3 linked regions of the Tamandua tetradactyla genome follow. The protein of the gene in region 3 interacts with the protein of the main gene of each other region in a pairwise test. Links are inferred from orthologs where the notes say so. Each region holds a gene or a part of one and is shown on either strand. Other genes may lie near its edges.

Region 1 (7,188 bases), on a different chromosome or scaffold from region 3:
GTCAGTCCTACCTAGCTAAAGCATAAAGAACATGAAAGGTTATAGTAGGCAACCTAGTCAGAAAACCAGGATGAAGCTACATCAGTGACCACCACCAATTCCATGCTAAAAAAGGTGGGGGGGTGGGGGGAGTAAGTGGAAGGGAAAGAGGTGATGACTTTAGTTTGGAAAGTACTACATTTAAAGGATATGAAAGAAGTACAAGTACACAATATCCTTTTGCCCATTCATTCAAATAATCTGAGTGCCAAACAGTGCCAGGCAATATTTACATGGGGGATAAAAGGATGCTTCTGTTTTAAAGGAGCAACCTATCTAGTTGGGGGGACAGAAATAAATAGGAACTTAAAATTCACTGTTAACTGCTAGGGCAGGGTGCTAAAAGAAAAAAGAAAAAAAAAGAGGAGGGACATCCAACTCAGTCCTAAGAACTCTCAAGTTGAACGTGAGTCCAGAAGGAGGAGCAATGTTAGGCCAGGCAAAGAGGGGCAGTTCAGGTGAAGGGAACAGCATGTCCAAACAGTCTCAGGTAAGAGAACACAAGTTGGGCACATCTTGTGTTAGGTCAGAAGGATGAATTCAAGATGTGAAAATATCCAAATGAAATATCCAGGAGGCAAGTGAAAATGCAGGTTTTGGGTTCCGAAAAACACATCCAAATATGAAATATACTTTCAATCTTTTCTTAAGTGGCTTAGAATCATTGTTAGTTGGTGTCTGAATGAGAAATTCCAAGAACCTTACATATCAGCTAGATTGTATACACTTACACCTGTTCACCAACATTTCTACTGTTATTACGTATCTTTGCTAAAAGTCAAACACTGGTTTATGTAAATACGCCAGATGAACTGGTGGGGACTGTGGTAATTGGAGATAAATGTTCTATTTAAAGGGGGCAGCCATTTACTAATTTCCAGTCATATACTTCCTTGCATGAATGTAGACCCAACACTGAGAGATCTTTCTGCTCGTCAAGAAAGTTTCAAAATTTAGATTTTATATGCTCCCATTTTTAAATACTGGCAACTAATTACATTTGAAAATAACAGCTAATTGGTATTTCAGAGATAGAATTCCTGCCTACCATGCAGAAGACCAGGGTTTGATTCCCAGCCCATGAACCCTGGAAAAACAAAACAAAACATTCAGCAACTGGTGCTGCAATGACAGGACAGTCACATGGAAAAGAATGAAATGTGACCCCCACCACACAGCATACAAATAATAACAGCCAAACGAAATGTTCTTGTAGACAGAATTCAGCAAGGCCCACCAGCACAGCAGTTAGACCAGGTCTGCCAATTTCTACACTGCTTTTTCTATCCTGCCATATGACCCTTTGGTTCCCTTGGAGTAGGAGTTGTGTCCTTCTAAAGCAAAACAGCCCCAAATTGCTAATGTTCTCTAAGGTTTTTTTTTTTTTTTGTATGTTTTGAACAGTTTTTCTGTCTACCTCCCAGTCAGAATATCTTCTAGCCTTTCCTACTCCCTTTTCTGTTGTAAGCTATCAGGCCAAGCTTTCAGGTAAAGCAAACGTAAATAAAGTGAAAACCTGATGGTATTTCTAATGAATAAAAGATATATTCTGTAAATCAACTCCTTGGTCTTCTTAGAAAACAGAATCACAGAAATATTTATGACTAATCAAACTTGAAAAAAAAGGGCGGCAACTTAAATCTGAACTATATGAGCATATTTTTCTACAGTTAGAGATGGAGGGTGGAAGGCAGTTAAGAACAGGACAAAAGGGAAAGTAAAAGTTTCTAGCCTTTGAGAAATAGCAGACATCTTTTAAGATGCATTTTTTAAAAAGCACAAATGTTTAGTACAAAAGGAACATTGTAATCTTAATTCTCAGTGGGAGCAAATATGTACATATATATTTTTTTAACAGATAACACAAAACATTCTTTGGGCAAAAAAAAAATTAGGGTTTTGAAATACTATTAAAAGAGGAAAATAATCTCTATACTTATAAAAAGGTAAATGAAGGAAACAAAAAGTACTCTGGTTGCTTTTAAATCCATTCAAATACACCAATTTCTGAGGTTTTAATAGAATATGTGTTTTTAAAGTGACAACATTGCTTAAGGAAACTTTTAAAATTAGCAACATTTCCTAATTATACTAGAATACTTAAACGATCTGAAGAGAAACCAGAGTATACGAAAACATTTAAAAGAACAGATCGTAGGATATAACTTTAGATAACTTTAGATAAGTGTGGCACACTTGAAAAGAAAAAAGAAAAAGCACATAAAAGGTTAACACTTGCAATCGACAAACCAAAAACTAGTACCAAGATTCTCGAACAATCAACGACCACAAAAATCTGAAGAGTGGCCTTTGCAGGCGCCCGGGTTGACCCGAGGGGTGGGGGATTCAGGAGAATGGGGAGTGAAGACTGAAGGCGAGCGGAGCAGGCCGTGTCCCCACTCCTGCTGGCAGGCGAGCTGTGCCATCAGAGTAAGCATCAGGGCCAGAGCACTTCTCGAGCCCAGTAAAACAGAAGGCTGACAGCAGCTACCGGGTGAGGGGGAGACGGAGGAAAACTGGCCTGCTTTGACCTCCACGGAAAACTGAGGCTCCTCCAACTGTAGCCTTCGAATCGAGGCGCAGGGCATTAATCTCTCAGCGGTCGGAGGATTCCTACGAAATCTCCGTGGCGCCCTGCGGCCTTCCCACACACCGGCCGAACGTCAACGGCGAGGACTAGCCGAGTGTGGGGGGCCCTCTCAGTGCGCACTGTCCTTTCCGAGAGGCGGTGAGAACGGGAAGAAAGCCAGCCCAGCGCGCCCCGCCTCCCCAGCCCTGCCCCGGCCGGGCAACCTCACCGGGGATGCAGCTGGGAAGCGGGGTCCCGCGCGCTCCTCACCTTTTTCAGCGCAGGCACCAGCAGACCCCGCCACTTGGGCGCGTTCTCCTCGCTGAAAAACTCGTACGGCAGCTGCTGCGCCTGCATGGTGCCCCCCGGGCGCCTCTGGGCTGGGAGGGGGGCGGCGGCGGCGGCGGCGACCAGACCGCGGAGGGAGAGGGCGAGCTCGCCGCGCCGAGCAAGGCCGCGACCCCGCGGGACAGCCCGGCCCCCTCGGGGCGCCGCGCGGCCCGGCTAGCCCTGACGGCCCGGCTGGGGGCCGAGGCCCGCGCGCGGCCACCTACCCGACACTGGCACTAGCCGAGGAGAGTGAAGGCAGCCCGGAGGCGGCGGCATGCCGCACCACCGCCCCAGGGCCGAGCCCCCCCACCCCTCCCCAGCCCGCCGGCGCCGCCCCGGGCTGCCCTCCGCAGCGACCGACGCTTGCCCGCCGGGGCGGCGCTCCTGGGCCCGGCCTGGCCCAGCGGCGGAGCCGGCGGCGAGGGGGAGGGTGTGTGGAAGGACGCTCAGGCCGAGGCTCCCACTGCGAGCAGCTGGGACCCCGAAACGCGCAAGGCCCCGGGCGGGGCGGAGCTGGGGCCGGGGTCTAGCGGGGGAGGGGAAGGGCCTTGGATCGCTGTTGGGGAATCCGGCCGCAGTGAGGTGGTGCCGCCGCCGCCGCCGCCGACACCGGTGTAACGCTCCTCGAGCTTCCTACTTGCGAACTGAACCTGCTCACCACTGAGCATGCGCCGCCGGGCTGGGTCGATTCGCTCCGGGTTTTCGGCCTCTCCAGTGAAGGCCGAGGGAAGTGCGGAGGAGGGAGGGCTCCGGGCTGTGCTGCCGCTGCAGCCCAGGGGGCTGCCGGGGAGGGGCGGAGAGGCCCCAAGAATTCCGACCCCAGGCAGATTGGGTCCCCAAGAAGTCCGACCCCGGGCGGACTGCGGCCCTGCGGCGGTGGGGAGCCAGGGGGCGGCGGCGACCTACGGTGAAGCGGCCCCCATTGGGTGTTGGAGAGATCTGGGCCTTTCGTTTCGTTCCGAGGTTTTAGCGTATGTGTACTTTGTCCCCGACCGTGAAGATAAGGACTGCCCAGAACATGTACGATATAGTAAACAGACTGGACAAAAGATAGGATCCCTTCTCACGAGAACAAAGTGTTCAATGTTCGTGGGGTGGTAGAAATGATTGCAGTGTTTCCAGTCGGTCTTTCCACATACCTACAGGACAAAATGTGGACACGTAGTATTGAGTTTCTGTTATGTGTTTTCAGATTCAGTCATTTCATCTTTCAAACCCATTTCAAATATGCACTTCTCCAATAATCTCTCACCTTCAGTGGAAACAGACCTGTTCTGCAGCTCCGGGAGCACTTTACTCATGCTCCTCTCAGGACATTTAGTCTATAGTATTTTGTATCTTTACTCTTTAGACTAGATAATAAACTCCTGGAAGAGCAGATCTTTTTCACCAGGAGCTCTACACAGAATAGCCTCGTGGTAGATGTTTGTGGAATGCTAAAGGAGCATGATCTCTAAATTGCCTCCCCATCCTAGCATGCAAATATTTGTTTATAACAGTGGCACTCTGTAACCGTCTCATGATTTATCATTAAACACATTTTGAGCACTATCCTATTTAATCCTCATAGCAACCCTACTGTTCTCGTTTCACAGATGAGATCTCATTTAGAGAAGGAGTCGGGTTGAAGGTGACATTTACTCTATCTCTGAGAATTGCCAGGATCACATTGATGAAAAATGCTTAAGCAGTGGCTCTTAATCTTTAAAGGACCTCTTCGTGGATCTGAAATAAGTCTTGGTCCTTTCCTTTTAAAGTGGTCACACATGATTTACATGTTTAAAATGTTCCCACACTTTCAAAGGGGCCAAAATAACATTTTGAAATCTGTCCATAAACCCTCTGAATAAGGAGTAAAGAAACCTTAGCTTGGAGAGGAATTGGAGGCACAAGCAGGGGTCTCAGAGGATACCATGTCAGCCATCTTCAAATACCTAAAGGACTATGATATGAAAAACTAATTGGTTTGTATGGTTCTAAACGACTGATCTAAGCTCACTCTTCTGCCATGAACTCTTCCTTGGGCTTCCCGTTGCTCTGAGATTACATCTCCAAGGTACTATGGCCCACAAAGTCGTGCATCTGGCTCCTGCTTACTTTCTCAACCTTGACTATCCCACTCAGTCACACCGGCCTTTCATCCACTCCGAGAAAACACGAACCTCTTCCCTGCCTCTAGGGCTTTGCTCTCTCCTCAGCTTGGAACTCATTGCTCCTAGCTGTGCACTTGGCTAGTTTTAAACCTCACATCCGAAGACACCTCCTCTGATCACTCTAAATAGTTCCTGCTTATTTTTTTCTACAATAAACCCTATTTATTTCCTTGCTAGCCCTATTATCACAGCCTATTTTTTGGTTATTGTCACTTCTCTCCCCTCCCCCTGAAATGTAAACACCAAGCGGATCAGCAATCGTGTGTGTATAGTAGGCATTGCACTCCCAAGATCTACGGTGCCTGGCACATAGTAGGTGCTCAATAAATATTTTTGAAAGGGTGAAAGTTGTATGGAGGAAACTTCCAAGAAGAAGACTACATAAACGGGGAGTCGTCGGAGGTTTACAACTACACATTCACTCACGCGGTATATCGAGAAGGGCTAAGAGGTTGGACTTGAAAATCTCGGAAAATGCCTCTCACCCACTGGCTCCCCAACTCCGAGTCTCTGATTTTATCGCAGAGGGAAACCAGCTCCAAAACTACGGATTTCAGCCTGGACTGGACAAGCTCAGAGACCGGGGCAGGTTTTCACTAGTATGGATATTTAGGCCGCAGGCTGAGAGCAAATAGCTGGAGGAAATTTGCGGTGAAGACACCCATTGCTTCTCAGCTGAAAGACAAGGGGGCAGTGGGGCCAGGCTCGGCGCCGTTAAAGTCAGGGAGCACTCCAGCTCCTCCGCACTGTTCGCCTATTTCTCGTTTTCTTGGGACAAAACAAAACACCTACGGACGTGAGACCAGTCAGCACCGCCGTGGCGCGGAAGCCCCCTACCGTCAGCCTCACCAGCCAACTGCGGCGCCACGGCGCAGGCGCCGAGGCTGCGGCTCACGCCCCTCTTCAGACCCAAGAGCCCCGCGCCAAAGCGGACGGGACGCCCGGGAGTGAATCCAGGCGGACTAGCCGAGGCCCGAAGAGGGCGCGTCCAGGAGGTTTAGCCGAACTTCGAGCGTGCAAGTCGGAACCGGGACACTGAGGAAGGGGGCGGGGAAAGCGTTTGGCTCCACAGCTCGCCCCCTGCAGGCGGAAGGGCGCACTCGGCGCTTTACCGCACGCGGCTGGCCTGGACCGCGCTGCGCGGTTCCCTCCCGTGCAGTGACCGCACTCTTCTTCCTGAAGCATCCTTCAGAACCCGTTACTCTCCTGTTCAAGAGCCTCCACTGGCTCTTCAACAGTCCAGAGTCCTTAGCCTGGAATTCATGGCCTTGAACGCTCGGGCCAACACTTGTCTTTCCAACTGTATCTCCCACTGGAAATGAGCAACCTGTTGGCTCCTACACATCCATCTCTTTTCTGCTTCTGTCTTTTTCATACACCGTTCCATCTGCCCGGACTGCTCAGACCCATTTTTCTCCAACCCCACGCGCCACAGCCCCACCTAACCCTCTCCCACCATACACGGTTGTTAGGTCGGGGGAACAGGGGTCACCAAGACTGGAGCTGTGTAAAATGTGCCGCCCCTTCTAGACGTCACCTAACCCCCTTGCTTAAAACCCGCCCGCACCAGGACCCAGCGGCAAACTCACAACTCCCTACCTTACGCTCTGTGAGCTCTGCCCGGGAGCGCAGAATAAACTCGCTCACTTTAAAGTTTCTTGGTCCGTCTCTTCTCTCTTTTCGCCTCCTTAACCTTACATTTTGGTACCCAAAACCCGGGAGAAGAGTGCGGGTGCTGCCCGCCTGGCCAGGGGCGACCCGGCCTCCTCTCTCCTCTTTCCTCCACATATCCAGCGACCAGGGAATCCCTCGGCCGCCACTGCATCCACCACAGATCGGGTAAGCCCCTTCCCTCCTAGCCCTGCTGCCGGGTCTCACCGTTCGGAGAGAGCCTGTCCGTAAATTACCCTCCGAAAATCGTTTCCCTCCGGATTTTCAGGTCCTGAAAATCGCAAACCAGGGTGAGACGTCCCCTGGGAAGACGAGCCCCGGCTCGTAAGAGCTCCGAAGACTCTCTCAGGGTGTTGGGACGCCGACACCCCCTGGGCCAGTCCTTTCTCCTTTGAGACCCGTCAGTATGGGCAGCAAATGCTCGAA
Region 2 (7,697 bases), on a different chromosome or scaffold from region 3:
ATCAGCCTCTTCATCTATCTTTTTTTTGGGGGGGGGGGTGCATGGGCCAGGAATTGAGCCTGAGTCTCCCACATGGCAGGCGAGCATTCTACCACTGAACCACCCATGCACCCCCCCATCTCCCATGTACCCCCATCTATCTTTTTTTTCTAATTGAGAAATCTTCACACACATACATTCTACACATGGTGTACAATCGATGGCTCACAGTGTCATCACATAGTTGTGTATTCATTACCATGATCGGTTTTTAGAACATTTGCATCACTCCAGAAAATGAAATAAAAAGAAAAAAGAAAAAACTCACACATACCATACACCTTACCCCCTCTTTCATTGACAACTAGTGTTTCCAACCCCATCTTTGATAGTACCATTACTAATGAAGCAGAAAAAAGTTTCAAAAGGATAAATGCTTTTAAACATTGAAAATGTTTTTCAGTCATCAAAGATAATCAGAAAGAAAAATTCATCTTTAAAATATTTTGCTTTGATTGTAAAGGAAGACCATCATTGGCAATAAATAAATAAACATGTTTTTGAAGCTGCCTTGACCAGCTCTAACACAGGCCATGCTAACACCATGTCTACGTACATATTTATCATCCAATTCTTGGAAAGTTCCATTGATCATAAGATTATAAACACACATATTGTGTTTTCCCATAGTGGCCAAACTTAGCAAACCGCCACCAAAAAACCAACAAGAACAAACTTTCTCTTCAAGTTGCCTGTAAACAAGGTCTAAAGTGTGGTTGATGGTGGTGACAAAATTCTTATAATAAAGGGCAACTGACCTACAGTGTGAGCTACTTTTATTGGAGGGTTTTTTTTTTTTAGCATTTTAGTCTATTCAAATAGGCTAACTCATAAGCTAACAGTTTTCTTTTTCTTTCCTATTTTCTTTAATTGCATTTCTTTTGGGTGCATTTCCCCCAAAAGAGATTATATAGCTTATTGCATGTTTGGTTATACCATACTATATTCATTAGAGCAAGATTTATTTTGGGTGCATTTCCCCAAAAAGAGATTATATAGCTTATCGTATGTTTGGTTATACCATACTATAGCTATTAGAGCAAGATTTCCAACAAATTAATGCACCTTTCACCTCCCATAGCCTCTGAGTGGGGGTACTAAAATGAAATATATTTTAGGAATCCAGCCACCATTGAAAAGATCCAGTGATGAAGTGTCCACACTTCAACTGAACTTTTGCTTTGTTTTACCCATACACACCCCCAAATACCCACACACTTAAAATAACAACCTTCCTTAGCATCAGAGCTGATGTTTTCACATTGGATGCAGCACCTGTTATACAACTGGAGTTTGCAAGCTAACTAAGGGGAATTTGCTCAGCCTGGTGGAGGCAAGGAGCTCAGGGCTCAGGCCTCCTAAACCTTTGGTCACTATGTTAAATTATCAATGGTCTCCTTTCCTTCAGTATTTAACTGACTTAGGACAGTGAACTGGGGCCCCACTGCTTTATCTAAATCATATGTATCCATATCCTACAAATTATGTATTTATTTATGCATATTTGCATGTACTTTTATAAGGCAGGTTATATATATATATACATAATTTTCAAATTGTAAACGTCAAAACAGGTGACTGAAATGGTGCAACCTCTGTGGAAGGCAGTTTGGCGGTTCCTCAAAAAGCTGAATATAGAATTGCCATATGACCCAGCAATACCATTGCTAGCTATCTACTCAGAGGACATAAGGGCAAAGACACAAACGGACATTTGCACATCAATGTTTATAGCAGCATTATTTACAATTGCAAAGAGATGGAAACAGCCAAAATGTCCATCAACAGACGAGTGGCTAAACAAACTGTGGCATATACATACGATGGAATATTATGCAGCTTTAAGACAGAATAAACTTATGAAGCATGTAATAATATGGATGGACTTAGAGAACATTATGCTGAGTGAGTCTAGCCAAAAACTAAAGGACAAATATTGTATGGTCTCACTGATATGAACTGACATTAGTGATAAACTTGGAATATTTTGTTGGTAACAGAGACCATCAGGAGATAGAAATAGGGTAAGATATTGGGTAATTGGAGCTGAAGGGATACAGACTGTGCAACAGGACTGGATACAAAAACTCAGAAGTGGACAGCAAAATACTACCTAACTGTAATACAATTATGTTAAAACACTGAATGAAGCTGCATGTGAGAATGATAGAGGGAGGAGGGCTGGGGACATAAATGAAATCAGAAAGAAAGACAGATGTTAAAAATTGAGATGGTATAATCTAGGAATGCCTGGAGTGTATAATAACAGAGACTAAATGTACAATGTACAAATTTTAAAAATGTTTTTGCATGAGGAAGAACAAAAGAATGTCATTATTGCAGGGTGCTAAAAATAGATGATAATATTTTAAAATGTCACCTTATGTGTGAGACTAAAGCAAAAAATCCTTATTTGTTACAAAATTTATATTTTGACTAGTGCATTTCCTAATGTAACTTATGTAGATAGTTTGATTGAACACCATAAGTACTTGGAATCTCAGGTAGGACATGAGATTTTGTTGGTTTCTCCAGAGTGATGCCCTGATGAATCCCAGAGTGATTCGATCAATGAGTGGAAAAGTATTTGCAAAGCCCCCTTCGGAGAATGGTGAGAATGGGGAGAAATTCAACTTCCCCAAGCTGAATTCTTGATATTCTCACAAGCAGTGTGGACAACCAAAGCTATAGGCTGAGCCCCCAGGCTTGGGGGTTGTTCATATGAAATTTAATCCCACAAAGGATAGGTCAAGTCTACTTAAAATTTAGGCCTAAGAGTCACCCCCAGGAGAGCCTCTTTTGTTGCTCAGATGTGGCATCTCTCTCCAGCCAACATGACGAGCAGTCTCACCACCCTTCCCCTCTCTGCGTGGGACATGACTCCCAGGGGTGTGGACCTTCCTGGCAACGTGGGACAGAAATCCTAGAATGAGCTGAGACTCAGCATCAAGGGATTGAGAAAAACTCTAGAATGAACTGAGACTCAGCATCAAGAGATTGAGGAAACCTTCTCGACCAAAAGGGGGAAGAGTGAAATGAGACAAAGTGTCAATGGCTGAGAGATTCCAAACAGAGTTGAGAGGTTATCCTGGAGGTTATTCTTACGCATTAAGTACATATCATCTTGTTATTCAAGATGTAATGGAGAGGCTGGAGGGAACTGCCTGAAAATGTAGAGCTGTGTTCCAGTAGCCATGTTTCTTGAGGATGATTGAATAATGATATAGCTGTCACAATGTTACTGTGTGATTGTGAAAACCTTGTGTCTGATGCTCCTTTTATCTACCTTGTCAACAGTCAAGTAGAACATATGGAATAAAAATAAATAATAGGGGGAACAAATGCTAAAATAAATTTAGTTTGAAATGCTAGTGATAAATGTAAGCGAGGGGTAAAGGGTATAGTAGGTATAATCTTTTTTTTTCTGTTTTCTTTTTATTTCTTTTTCTATTGTCTTTTTTTTCTTTTTCTGAATTAATGCAAATGTTCCAAGAAATGATAAATATGCAACTAAGTGATGATATTGTGAATTACTGATTATATATGTTGATTTTTTGGTTTCTTAATTTTTTAATTAATAAATAAATTTGAAAAAGAAAAAATATTTACTGATCTCTAAATGTAACAATAAGTGCAACATAAAGACACTGATCATCTTGGACTGTAATCTGACAGCTCAACTGTACAGTTTCCATATTATTTACATTATGAATATTGTGACTGTGTTTACTGATGAGCTATCTCCTGTCTTAAATACTCATGAAACTACTTCTACATTTCATTTTCAAATCAAACAAAAGAAACAGTGAAAAAAAAAAACAGGTGACTGGCTATATCACCTGTGATGTGTATTAAATAACAGGAGTCAATCTCAGCAACCCTTCAGGTCTAACCAGGCAGGCCTAATGCTCCGAAACCATCGCTTGGCACATCAAAAACTGGAGCGTGTTTATTCTTTTAAATACACTCTGTCAAAGGCCCCTCCATTAGAGCGTTGAACTGCTGTACACTTTGTATCCCTTTGGGCCGTATCTTAGTCAACTAATATAATTTTACTACTTTGTATCCAAATACCACAGGATGCCTCACTGCATCTTTTTGGTGTTGGGAGAGCCAAGCGTCCCACTGCGGCAGAATTTAATTTTATTAAAACCACTTCTGAGAGTTGTCCTAAAATTCAAACCGAAGGCAACGCTTTTTGTTTTGAGCAAACCACAGAATAAATGAATGCAGGAACGACGGGGGAAGGCAGGAAAACCCTAAAGGGCTTGTTACAGAGTTGTAACAATTGAATCACCCAGGACACTAAGTGCCACGCCCCAGCGCGTGATCTCACTTAAACCCCAACAGAAAGCACCATGCTCATTCCTTTTACAGATGAACACAATGACAGCCCGAGGTGGTTTCAGAACCCACCACCCTTAATCTTCAAAACCCTGCCTCAGCGGACCCTAACACTGGTCTGGCATCTACTGCGCATGCCCCGATTCAGTGGCCAATAAGAGTCCGGCACCCAGGAGTGGAGGCGGGGCTATGTTATTCTCCCAGAGCCCTGAGGCTTCAAAGCACAGCAAGGAGGGGAATTCGTTCACCGACCAATCAGAGCCCACGTCAGTCCCCGATCTGCTCGCACCCTGAGCCAATTGCCTGCTCCGGTGTGGCAAGAGCTTGTTCGAAATTACGGAAGCGAGGGGTGGGCGGTGAACGAAGTTAATTAAGATGGCGGATATGAGAGAGGCTGCGGGCCTGAAAGTGAGGTCCGCTCTAGGCGGGTGGGTGTCGGGAGGAATTGGGAGGCTTGGGACGAGTAAGATTGTGACATTCTCCTCTCCGTTTGGAGCTTGGGCCTGGCTTCTTGTTGGGATGAGGCAGCCTTTAGTAATCCAGCCCCGCAGAATAAAAGTGGTATGTTACAAGATGGCCGCCACCACCCAGTGCTAGGATCGTAGGCTGACTGTTTCATTCTTACTCCCGGGTGATCCGTCCCAGGCTGCGGACTTTACGCAATCTGGGGAGTGGGTCCCCTTGGGGTCAACACAGCCCTGGGGTCCCCTAACTGGTGTGTGGACAGTCCTGTGATCATACCAACTGAAAGGAGTGGACATTCCTAGAGCTACAAAGATTGGGATGCAGGGAGGAAGCACCCATCCAGGGAGAGTTGGGGGTGACTTTGAGAGTGTGGACAATGTAGGGACTGGGGGGAGGGGGGAGGGAACTCTGGACCCCCAGCTGATCCAGGTTAGCAGCCATACCGTAGAGCTATTGTCTAGCACAGTGTTTTCCTGTACGGGAGTGGGAAACCTGGTGGGTGGGACCTCTGAGGTTGGCCGGGAGGGCTCCAGGGCCATCTCACAGCACTGCAGGAATCTGGCCGGGTCCCACCAAGTGGACCTCTGAGATGGGCTTTGCAGCAGAGAAAGTAAAGAAAGGGCAGTGGGAAAGTGGTCGTGTATTCTGGGTCTTTGACCATCCAGGAAGGAGAAGGGTGAAGAAGAACTCGAGAGAACAGGGCGTGAATGCTAGGCTAAAGGGATAATATTTCATTTATCTAGGTTGCCCAGCTAATTCATAAAAACAGTAACAATAACGCATAATTATAATATGTCAAGCTCTGCCCTAATCACTTTCTATGAATTCTCATTTAATCTTTACAACAACCCTAACCACCATTGTTATATTCCCTTTGTGGGTGAGAGAACTGAGGCATTTGAGAGGTTGCCAGAAGTTACACAGCTGGTAAATGGCCAGCAGTAAAGCCAGGCTAAAAGGCTCAGTAGGGTTCTGACCACTGAGCCCTTCTTATCTCTACAGATGTCTCTGCTTTTCTGTGCACACCCTATACTCACCCCACCCCCACCAGGACTAAAAATCAGCTGCTCTCATAAGGGCCCTTAAAGAACCCATTTTTCCATAGTGAACAGTGTAGAGCCTTTATGGGAGGGGGTTAGGCCCTCAGCGTTCTGAGTTATTTTTCTTCTCCCTTTTCCCAGGGGATACCAGAGAGGCAGTGGTAAAGAGAGGATGAGTTTAGCTTTGTGGGAAGAGGATGGTATATTCACAGCATAGATATCTGGACTATAATTATTTATTCAGCAAATATTGATTTACCCTCTACCACTGCATGCAGGGTCTTGTGCGAGGTGATGAGGATACTGCAATGAACAAGACAGACAAGGATCCTGTTCCTACCTGCCCTTGGGATGTATTTTGGGAATCCTGGGGACATTTGTGGTTCTCACTGTGTCAGGGGTGCTTCTGGCATTGAGTCGGCAGGGACCTGCAAGGCTAGGGGACAGTCCCACAATACAAAGACTTACAACATCCATACATGTCATTTTAGGATGCTGAATGCAAACACTTATTAAAACGGAGCATCGGGTCTGAGGGTTGGGAGCTATTGTTTTCTTAGGTTGGGCCTGTCCCTAGGAAGCACCCCTCAGGGGTATGGAGGGCCATGAGGGGTGGGAAGGTGAGGGGAGAAGGATGGCATTGCAATATCAATTTTGCGGTCCTGGCCTCTATCTTGATCTTAAAGGACAGCAGTTGGACCCTCCCCATGCCTAGATCTCCTCCATGGACTCCATGTGGTGGTGACCAGCATGTGGAAAACAACCCGGGATCATAATACTGACTGTGTCTTACTCGTCACAGGGCTTGAGGCATGGAAATGGGAATTGCATAGGCAGTAATCTCCCCAAAGAAAGCAAACTAAGCAAAGATATGAACAGGAAATGATTCTCAATTTGGTACCCTTTGAGGCAGGCGTAGATGATGGGGGAGCAATGGGTGGGTGTAAATTATTGGGCATACACTGGTATTTGGGGGTTTGTAGGTGTTCATAATATTATAAGAAGTGAATTAGACTTTCTGCTTCCAGCTGTTTTGGGCTGCCTGTATTGTATCAGACCAACTCTCCTGGTGAAAGCAATCAGAAAAGTTGGATTAAGGTTCGTTTTTTAACCTATTTGAAAGCATGGGAGAGCAAATTATCTTTGAGGTCATCACCTCACCGAATGCTATCCAGTGCCAAAAAGCACTGTTTAATGGAGACGTATAAACCAGCTCCAATTTATTAATGCAGGTTGACAGAGTAATTAATACTATATTATAATATGAACAATGATACTAAATTCAAAAATTGCTGTATTACAGAGTGGGGAAACTCGTTTTATTAAGGACCCAAATAACAAAATCTGCTTTAGGATTTTTATTTAAAGAAAAAGATATAAGCCTGTTTGCTACTTAGAAATACAAACAGGAAATATGCAACTTTCAAGAGTGACATGCAACTTTTAAATATTAATTTTAAAAAATAGCACATGTAGCAGAGGTTTAGGGTTCCCTGATGTAGAGCTATAGGGACACATCTGGGGGCCAAGAAAGGAGTAGGAAGGTGGAGAACAAAAGACATAAAAAAGAAGCAGAATTTTATCTTGGCCGCCATATGGCACCTAACAGTTTAGGAACTGTTGACCTCTACTCTCCTGCTTACAAGCTATGTGTTGTTGGGCAAGTTGTCTAAACTTCTCTGGTTCTCAGCTTCCCTATCCCCTATGGGGATAACAGTAGTGCTTCCTTCATGAGGTTGTCTGTGCATATTATATGAGTTGATAAATGTAAGGCCCTTGGAAGACATAGCAGCAAACACTAAGTAAAAT
Region 3 (7,142 bases):
ATTTTACCTCTCTTTCTTCATAACCACCAAAGTTAGACGACCACAAACAGAACTTTACCCTGTTTCCCAGGACTTTTTTGTGAGGATTTAATAAAATAACAAAAGTATTCTGTCCAGTGTAAAGTGCTCCATAAATATTAGTTGGGTTATTACAAGAAGGGAACTAGTACCACACTATGTTTGTGCTGGAGACAGTAACAATGAACCTAAATAGACAGCCGGGCAAATCAGCCAGACAGGAAATATGTCTGACTCCTGAATACAGGCTGGATTCCCTTTTGCTGAGCTACACCTGCCAGACTGGAAGCCCCTCATGCTTCTGTCATGAATGAGCATGTCCTGTCCAGGGCCTCGCCCTAGTCTGGCCCTTGGTTCCACCCTACTGTGCTGGACCAGAGCCAAGTCTGGGCTAATTTCCCCCTCCAGCTGGCCTGGTACTGCCTTTCCGGGATCATCGGGCCTCAAGCCAGAGTCTCAAACTATGTATTACACAAGTGGCCCAATAATGAGAATGCTCCTTCCTTCCCTTCTAAGACTGGGAATTTCCCTTCCCTCCTCTTTCCCTTTAAATCATTCCAACTCCTACTTCTCTGTTTCTCATCGGCCTCAAAGCTCCAGAATAGGATCTGTAAAGTCATGAAGCTGAGAAAAGAGGGCAGAGATGCATTTGTTCCATTGACTGTTTCTCTGAATCAAGTCTCAGCAGCTCCCCACCAGTGCTCACTCCTTGTTTCCACTAGCTGGGACATAAAAGGTTCTTAATAAACATTCACTGAATAAAAATAAATATCAAATTAATGAAATGATAAATACATGTCTAATGAAGTCTCCAGACTTTCTCTTGACCCTGAACCATAATCCTTGGCCTGCTTTTTTATTGCCTTTATGATCAAATTCTACAGCAGCCTAAAACTTGTTTCCCAGACTGACTGACATTATGCACAAAGGAGGATCATCATCATCACAGATATTTTTTCTTTTGAGTTCTGGGAGGAAAAAGAAACTGAAAAAGGGACAGACCTCACTTTTATTTTTTAAAAGGTACACAATTACTGTGTCAGTACAAAAATGTGTTTTGTATTTGCATTGTGCTTAGGAATGGTATGGGGAGATTGTGGAGTTGTGTTTTCTTTCATTGGAGACTAGAAGAGACATCCTGGCTAGAAAGCACAGTTGCTAATAGCAGTGGGCAGGGTTAGGGGCTGACTGACTCCTACTAAAGATAGAAGATAAAAGCACAGCTTTAAACGTGGCAGATTCCCACCGTTCACCACTCCTATCTCCGTGCCTTATAGATGAGGTAGAGCCAGGTTTCTCTGGGATTCCACGGTGGGAGCACTGCCACACTGCTGGAGCATACCGCCTATAAGTCCCAGATGACAGCAAACAGTCAAGCATGCATACAGTTGGTTTACCAGAAAGAGAGTAAAGAATAGGCTGTAATAAATATTTGAAGAAATGATGGCCAAGATTTTTCTTAATTTGAGGCAAGAGAAATGTGTAGATGCAAGATTCTAAATGAACACCAAGCAGCATAAAAACATTAAAAAGTCCATGCAGAGGCATCTAGTTGAATTATTGAAAGCCAAAGACAAAGAGCGAATCTTGAGAGCAGCAACAGAAAAGTGACATATTACATATGATAATTCGCTCAATAGCTGACTTCTCAGCAGAAAGCATGGAAGCCAGAAGAGAATGGAATAGCATCTTTAAAATGCGAAAAGCGGGAGTGGGGTGGGGTGGGGTGGGTGGGTCCCGGAGATGTACAAGGACTGGTGTAAATCACAGATACAGTTCTAAGGCCAGTTTTACGCAGTTAAGGGGGACTGGAATGGTGGATATAACAGAGGGCACTTGGGTGGACTGTTCCAGGTGCTGAAATTCTTGGTGAATGTATGATATGGGGGAAGTTGGTAAATGATAGGAATGAGGATAGAAAAGGATGAGGATAGAGAATAGTATGGTTTCAGTTGTTCTTATAATCCTCAAAGGAGAAGGGACTTTGTGTGCAAATTGAAAAACAGTGATCTGGAAGCAAGAAGAACAAGAAGATGTTTCTTGGTCCCTTCCAAGGTCTGTCTTCCTACTAATATTCCCTTCTGTATGGTGATGATAGAACTACCACTACCCAGATCTACTCTGAAACCTGAGATTTCTTTACTCCTTCTCCTCCCTTATTACTTACGTCCAGTCACCAAGTGCTTAATAGTGCTAAATTCCTTCCTGAAGTGCACGGGGAGGGAGGTATATTTGAGAGGGGATAGAGAATCGAAGCTTCTTGCATTTTGTGTTGTGAGGGTTCCGAATGGAACTCCGGTATTTGGCTGTTTTAGTTCGTGGGATAATGTAGGCTCCCAGTTGGATACAGGACCCGGATTTCCACCAGAGGTTATTTCCTTATTTTAGGGAGATGGTCTGTGTTTCCTCTTAGTCACAAATATCCCTTTTCAGAACCTCCACTTTCGTCCTGCTGAGGATTTGGCAGCACCTCCTTCAGAGAGAAAGGGAATTCAGGGTGAATTGCACCAGGTCCAGAACCCAGAAACAGAAATGGCTTTTAAATGATGGGAGGAAAACAGAGACTAGCTATCTGCTGATCAGGATGAAACATAGATTTCATCCTAACAGGCCAACTCTGATAACTTCGTAGCAGCTCTCTGGAACACCAGAGCGCTACATTGAGAAGGATTTCAAGGCTTAGACTTGAGTACAAGCTCTGAAAGAGGGTACCACAATTGACTGGTGATGTGTGCCATGAGAGTGACACCCTATGCTCAAGAGTGCTCTCCTTAGCCTGGGTGGTTTGTTTACAGACAGGTTGCTTGGTCCCCAGCAAGTAAGGGACTTCCTAAACTAATACAAAAGAGCAAGGCTTCTCTGTGTCACTGAAGCTTAGGACCTACCTTTCAAGTCCTGGCCAGGCCCTGATTGAAACACAGCATCTGAGAGCAGGAAAAGGCTGTTTATCATTCCGGATGTTTGTGAAATTTCTCACATGAGTTGGCTGGGCAGTTGATATAAGTCTGGGCTTTGGAGCTATCCCTCTGAAGTCACCTTGCTACCTTCACCTGCCCAAAAGGTAAGAAATGATAGGAAGCCATAGGATCAGTATGAGTTGTTTAGATTTCTCTTGGACAGATGTCATCATGGACATACAAGTTTTGTACACTGGACCAGCCCCCATCCTGCCTCTAAAGTCAAACAAAACTCTTCCATCTTAGGTCTCCTCTTTGCTATGCCCAAAGGAATCACTGACTCCTCCTCACACTCCTTAACCAACAGAAACCTTTTCTTTGAAGGAGTGCTGTGTTGAGGGCAAGCCCCTTGGTATAGGGTGGAAAGGGAGTTGAAGCCTGATTTTTTTCTTTTTTTTGACAAGATCAGGGGTTGGAAGGGGCGAAAAAAGATTCTGAGCTTGAGCTTCACCTGTTCATCAGCTATGGAGTGGGAAAGAATATTCAGTTTCGGCAGGCCTGCAGATGGGAGTTTGGGGAGAGAGAATGTGAGAGTATACGAGGGGAGCTGCTCTTCTGCATGAAAGGGGGCAGGGAGCCCTCCGTGGTCTGGTGGTCGCATATGCTATGGAGGAGGGAGAGGAATGCTGAATGGATGGCTTTTGGGTATCCGGAGTCCCTGAGGAGGTGAGAGAGGCCAGTAACAGATCCGTGAAGAAGGGTGGGAACCTTCTTCCCAGCCCCCATCCCAGGGAATCCGCGCTCCCAGATCATGGAAGAACCTTCAGTGAGAGAGAAGGTCCCCGAGGGAGCCCTATCTGGGGTGCAATAGGGCTGCGCCCGATCCCGCCTGGTCCTTTCCCAAACCCGGGGGTCTGCCGTAGCAGGAAGCGCACCACCCAAGCTCAGCATGTCACCTTGGGGAGGAGGAGCCAGGTGGGTCGTCGCAGCTCCGGGAAGGGCTGCCAGGGCCGGGGCTTCGGGGTCTCCCCGAGGGGAGAGCAGCGCCCTCCGGGTCCAGGCCCGCTTGGTCCGGTGCCCCGGGGCTCTGGGGGGAGGCGCCTGGCCCAGGCCAATTTCGGGCTGCCAAGAGTGGGAGAGTCCGTGCCCGCGCCGGCGGGCGGGCCGTCCGCGGCCCGGCCCGTCGCCTACCTCCCCGCCCCCCGGCTTCCTGCGGAGGCCGCGGCCGCCATGTTGTTGTGGGGCTGAGGCGGCGCCGGCGGAGCCCAGCGGCCGTGACCGGCTGCGCAACAGGTTCGCTGTCGGCATCCTAGCGAGAGGGCGGGCGGCGGCGGCAGCGGCCCAGCAGGGTCTCCCGGCCCCGACCCGCGCGGGCTCTGCGGGTGCTGAGGAGCGCGGGGTCGCGCTGTGACGTGCAGGAGGCGCGGCGGGGGCGCCAGGTGGGTGAAGCCGCGCGCGCGGGCGGCCGCAGGGCGCGGGGCAGGTGCGGGCGGCGCAGCGCCGGCCGCCCGGGAGGCTGCCAGGGCCGAGCCGTGCGTCGCTGACGCCGAGTCGGGTCGCGGGGCGACCTGGCGTCCCCCGAGCTAGGCCCCTGGGGCTTGGGCGCGCCGGGCGGAAACCTCCAGCCCCGGTTCCTGTTCCCGTGGCGGGGCCGGGGCGGGCGCCGAGCCGGCCGCGGCCTCTTCTGGCAGGTGGCGGATGCCGCCGAGGGCGCGGGGCGGCGTGGCCCCCTCGCTTTCGGGGTGCGGGCGAACGAGAGCCCGGACCCGTTTTATTATCGTGGAGTTGGTTTTTCTCCTCGGTAATGGTTGGTGTGAAATGTCAGGTGAGCCGCATCCCGGTGCGTCAAAGTGGTCCGAGTCACGGACGGATGCCCGGCGTCCACGGCTCGCATTAAACCGAAGTTGGGAAATGTTAAAATTTGACTTCCAGGGTACACAGGAAGCGCGGAGAGATGTAATTTCTTAGGCCAGAGTAAAGTTTATTGGTTATTTAAAAGAAAAAAAAAAGACTCCTGCATGTGCATAGTGCATGGGTAAATCAAGACTGAAAGCGCCGATGGCTCTACACTCTGTAGAAAGGTGCAGTATTTGAATTTATTGATCATGTTCTTTATCGTTGGATGATTGCCGAAGGTAAATATGCCTTCCTTGAAATTTGTATTAATTACGAATTGAGAATCTGTTTGCTAGAGCTAACCGCTTTATGATAGGAGCTGTGGTCAACACAAAAATTATTGCTTTACTAAATCCTTCTAGTTTGTTTTTACTAGTATTTACTTACTTACCCAGAAACGGGCATGGTGGAACTTGAAATTTTGTGGTGTTGTATTTAGGTTAATTTGGGTAGCAGAGCCTCAATAGGTTAAGCGGCTTAAGTCTTTAGGAAAAGTAAGTTCCTTCCTCCCTGTCCAGGTTTGCTATTTTGTTAATCAGTGTTAAAATCTAAAAGCAAGCTGCAAACATCACATAAAACCTTTGCCCAAATTAATAATGTTATCCCTCAAATTTAAATATAGTAACAACTCTGATGGGCTCACCTTTAGGTTTCTTTGGCTGTGGGCACAATTCCCTTATAATTTTAAAAGTAAAAAAGTCATTTTTAAAAGCTTAATTTAGAAGCGAACAGTATTTCATGTGTTTGAAGGACTTAAGAACGATGTGCATTGCTGTTGTTTTAATGTAACGTTAATAAGCAGCTGAAAAGCTTGTATTCCCCACCCCCACCCCCTTTAATGAAGGTGATTATTCTCTTTCCTGGCGTTTATATGAAGGTTAGAATGGTCTGAGAAAACTTGACCCATTCTGAATAATTGAACAGGAAGGCACCGTTGTTCTGCATATCTCAAGCCTAAAATCTTGATGTCTTCTGAATATGAGGAAATGTTTTTGGAATGTTCTAAGGATTGGATTTGTAGTTTAAGAAATTTCATAAATATAGGCTAGTATAAGGAGCCTGTTTATATCCATCAACCAGTTTCAGTAGTTTGCAAGCCTTTCTTTATCTAGGCTTTTTTCTTTCTTTCCTACCTTTATTTCTGTTTTAGCCATGTCACCCTCCATACCTAGTATTTTTCTCTCTGAAAAAGAAAAGTGAAATTTCTTACATAACCTCAAGGATTTTTAGTTTTAATTTATTTTTAAACTTCCAAATTCCATCTTTCTGGCAAGACCAAAAGAACATTTATTGCTTAACTCCTTCAGTATTAAAATATATTTACCATGCTTGTCATTTACTGAGCACTTACTACATGCTAGGCCCTGTGTATGCAAAGTGCATAATTATTTAATGCTCACAGAGCTCATAGTTACTGTCTTCACCATCCAAAAGATAAGGGAAATGAGGTGCTAGGAGATTATTTGACTATTCTAGCTCTTGAACCTAGTAAATACTGGAGCCAGGTTCAAACCCAGGCCTTTCTGACTTTAGGGCCTGTACTTTCTTACAGGGTGTGATCATCTTGGTTCAGAATTTTAAAAAAGTTTTATTGGATTCAATAAATAATTGTTGAGTGATGAAAGTCCGTAATTGATAAGTACCTAGCATTTTTATATACTGTATTTAGTAGCAAAACATTTGTATTAACAAGCTCCAGAAATGATTCAGAATAAGCTATTTGCATTACTAAAAATGTGTATATTTAATTACCATCTAACAGTGATTTTGCTTTTTCTTTTGTATTTTGTTTTTTCAGCACCTTATTTATGGAAAAATCTGATTGTGGAAAAACTAATTTTGGAGAAAAGCTAAAAGGAAAAAGAGCCTTTTGTGTGTGTGTGTGTGTGTGTGTGTGTGCACGCTAATTAAAGGCAGGATTCCAAGTGTGACTTGGAAAAATAAGAATATCTAGAATAAATCCTGTAAATGCATCAGAAATGCTGTATTTTTTTTTTTTTTTGGCTTATGTTCACTCTTAGCTATATACTGTCCTATAACTACAGAGCACAGAAACTAATGTTAGAATCCCATTGGGTAACTTGTGTGTATTCATATCCTTGAGAAGGGGAACCTGAACTAGTCTTAATATGAAAGCAGAGAGGAAGTGGTGGAAGAGGGGAGGAAACTGAGCAGAAATAAGACGTTGAATAAATCAAGAAATCATGTATTTTCCTAAGTCTTAAGAGGGCAGCATTTTTCATTTGCAGATATCCCATATTATTTTGAGGGATTCATTTCAAAAGTAATTTCACAGCTACATCAGGACACTGAGTGATTTAGTTACGTAGG

The links.
Region 1: the proteins of ITSN2 (region 3) and SOS1 interact in a two-hybrid assay, tested with the Homo sapiens proteins (2 studies listed by BioGRID and IntAct). The link is inferred for Tamandua tetradactyla from reciprocal best matches to the Homo sapiens genes ITSN2 and SOS1.
Region 2: the proteins of ITSN2 (region 3) and WAS interact in a two-hybrid assay, tested with the Homo sapiens proteins (2 studies listed by BioGRID). The link is inferred for Tamandua tetradactyla from reciprocal best matches to the Homo sapiens genes ITSN2 and WAS.

Annotation. Positions count from the first base shown.
Region 1 is NC_135343.1:10,348,692-10,355,879, forward strand, and holds the start of SOS1 (son of sevenless homolog 1), read right to left. Parts: upstream 3,009-7,188; 5' UTR 2,966-3,008; coding exon 2,879-2,965; intron 1-2,878.
Region 2 is NC_135353.1:121,599,804-121,607,500, reverse strand, and holds the start of WAS (actin nucleation-promoting factor WAS), read left to right. Parts: upstream 1-4,689; 5' UTR 4,690-4,796; intron 4,797-7,697. UniProt on the Homo sapiens protein: Effector protein for Rho-type GTPases that regulates actin filament reorganization via its interaction with the Arp2/3 complex. Important for efficient actin polymerization. Possible regulator of lymphocyte and platelet function.
Region 3 is NC_135329.1:7,615,292-7,622,433, reverse strand, and holds the start of ITSN2 (intersectin-2), read left to right. Parts: upstream 1-4,133; 5' UTR 4,134-4,354; intron 4,355-4,617; exon of another isoform or gene 4,618-4,740; intron 4,741-7,142.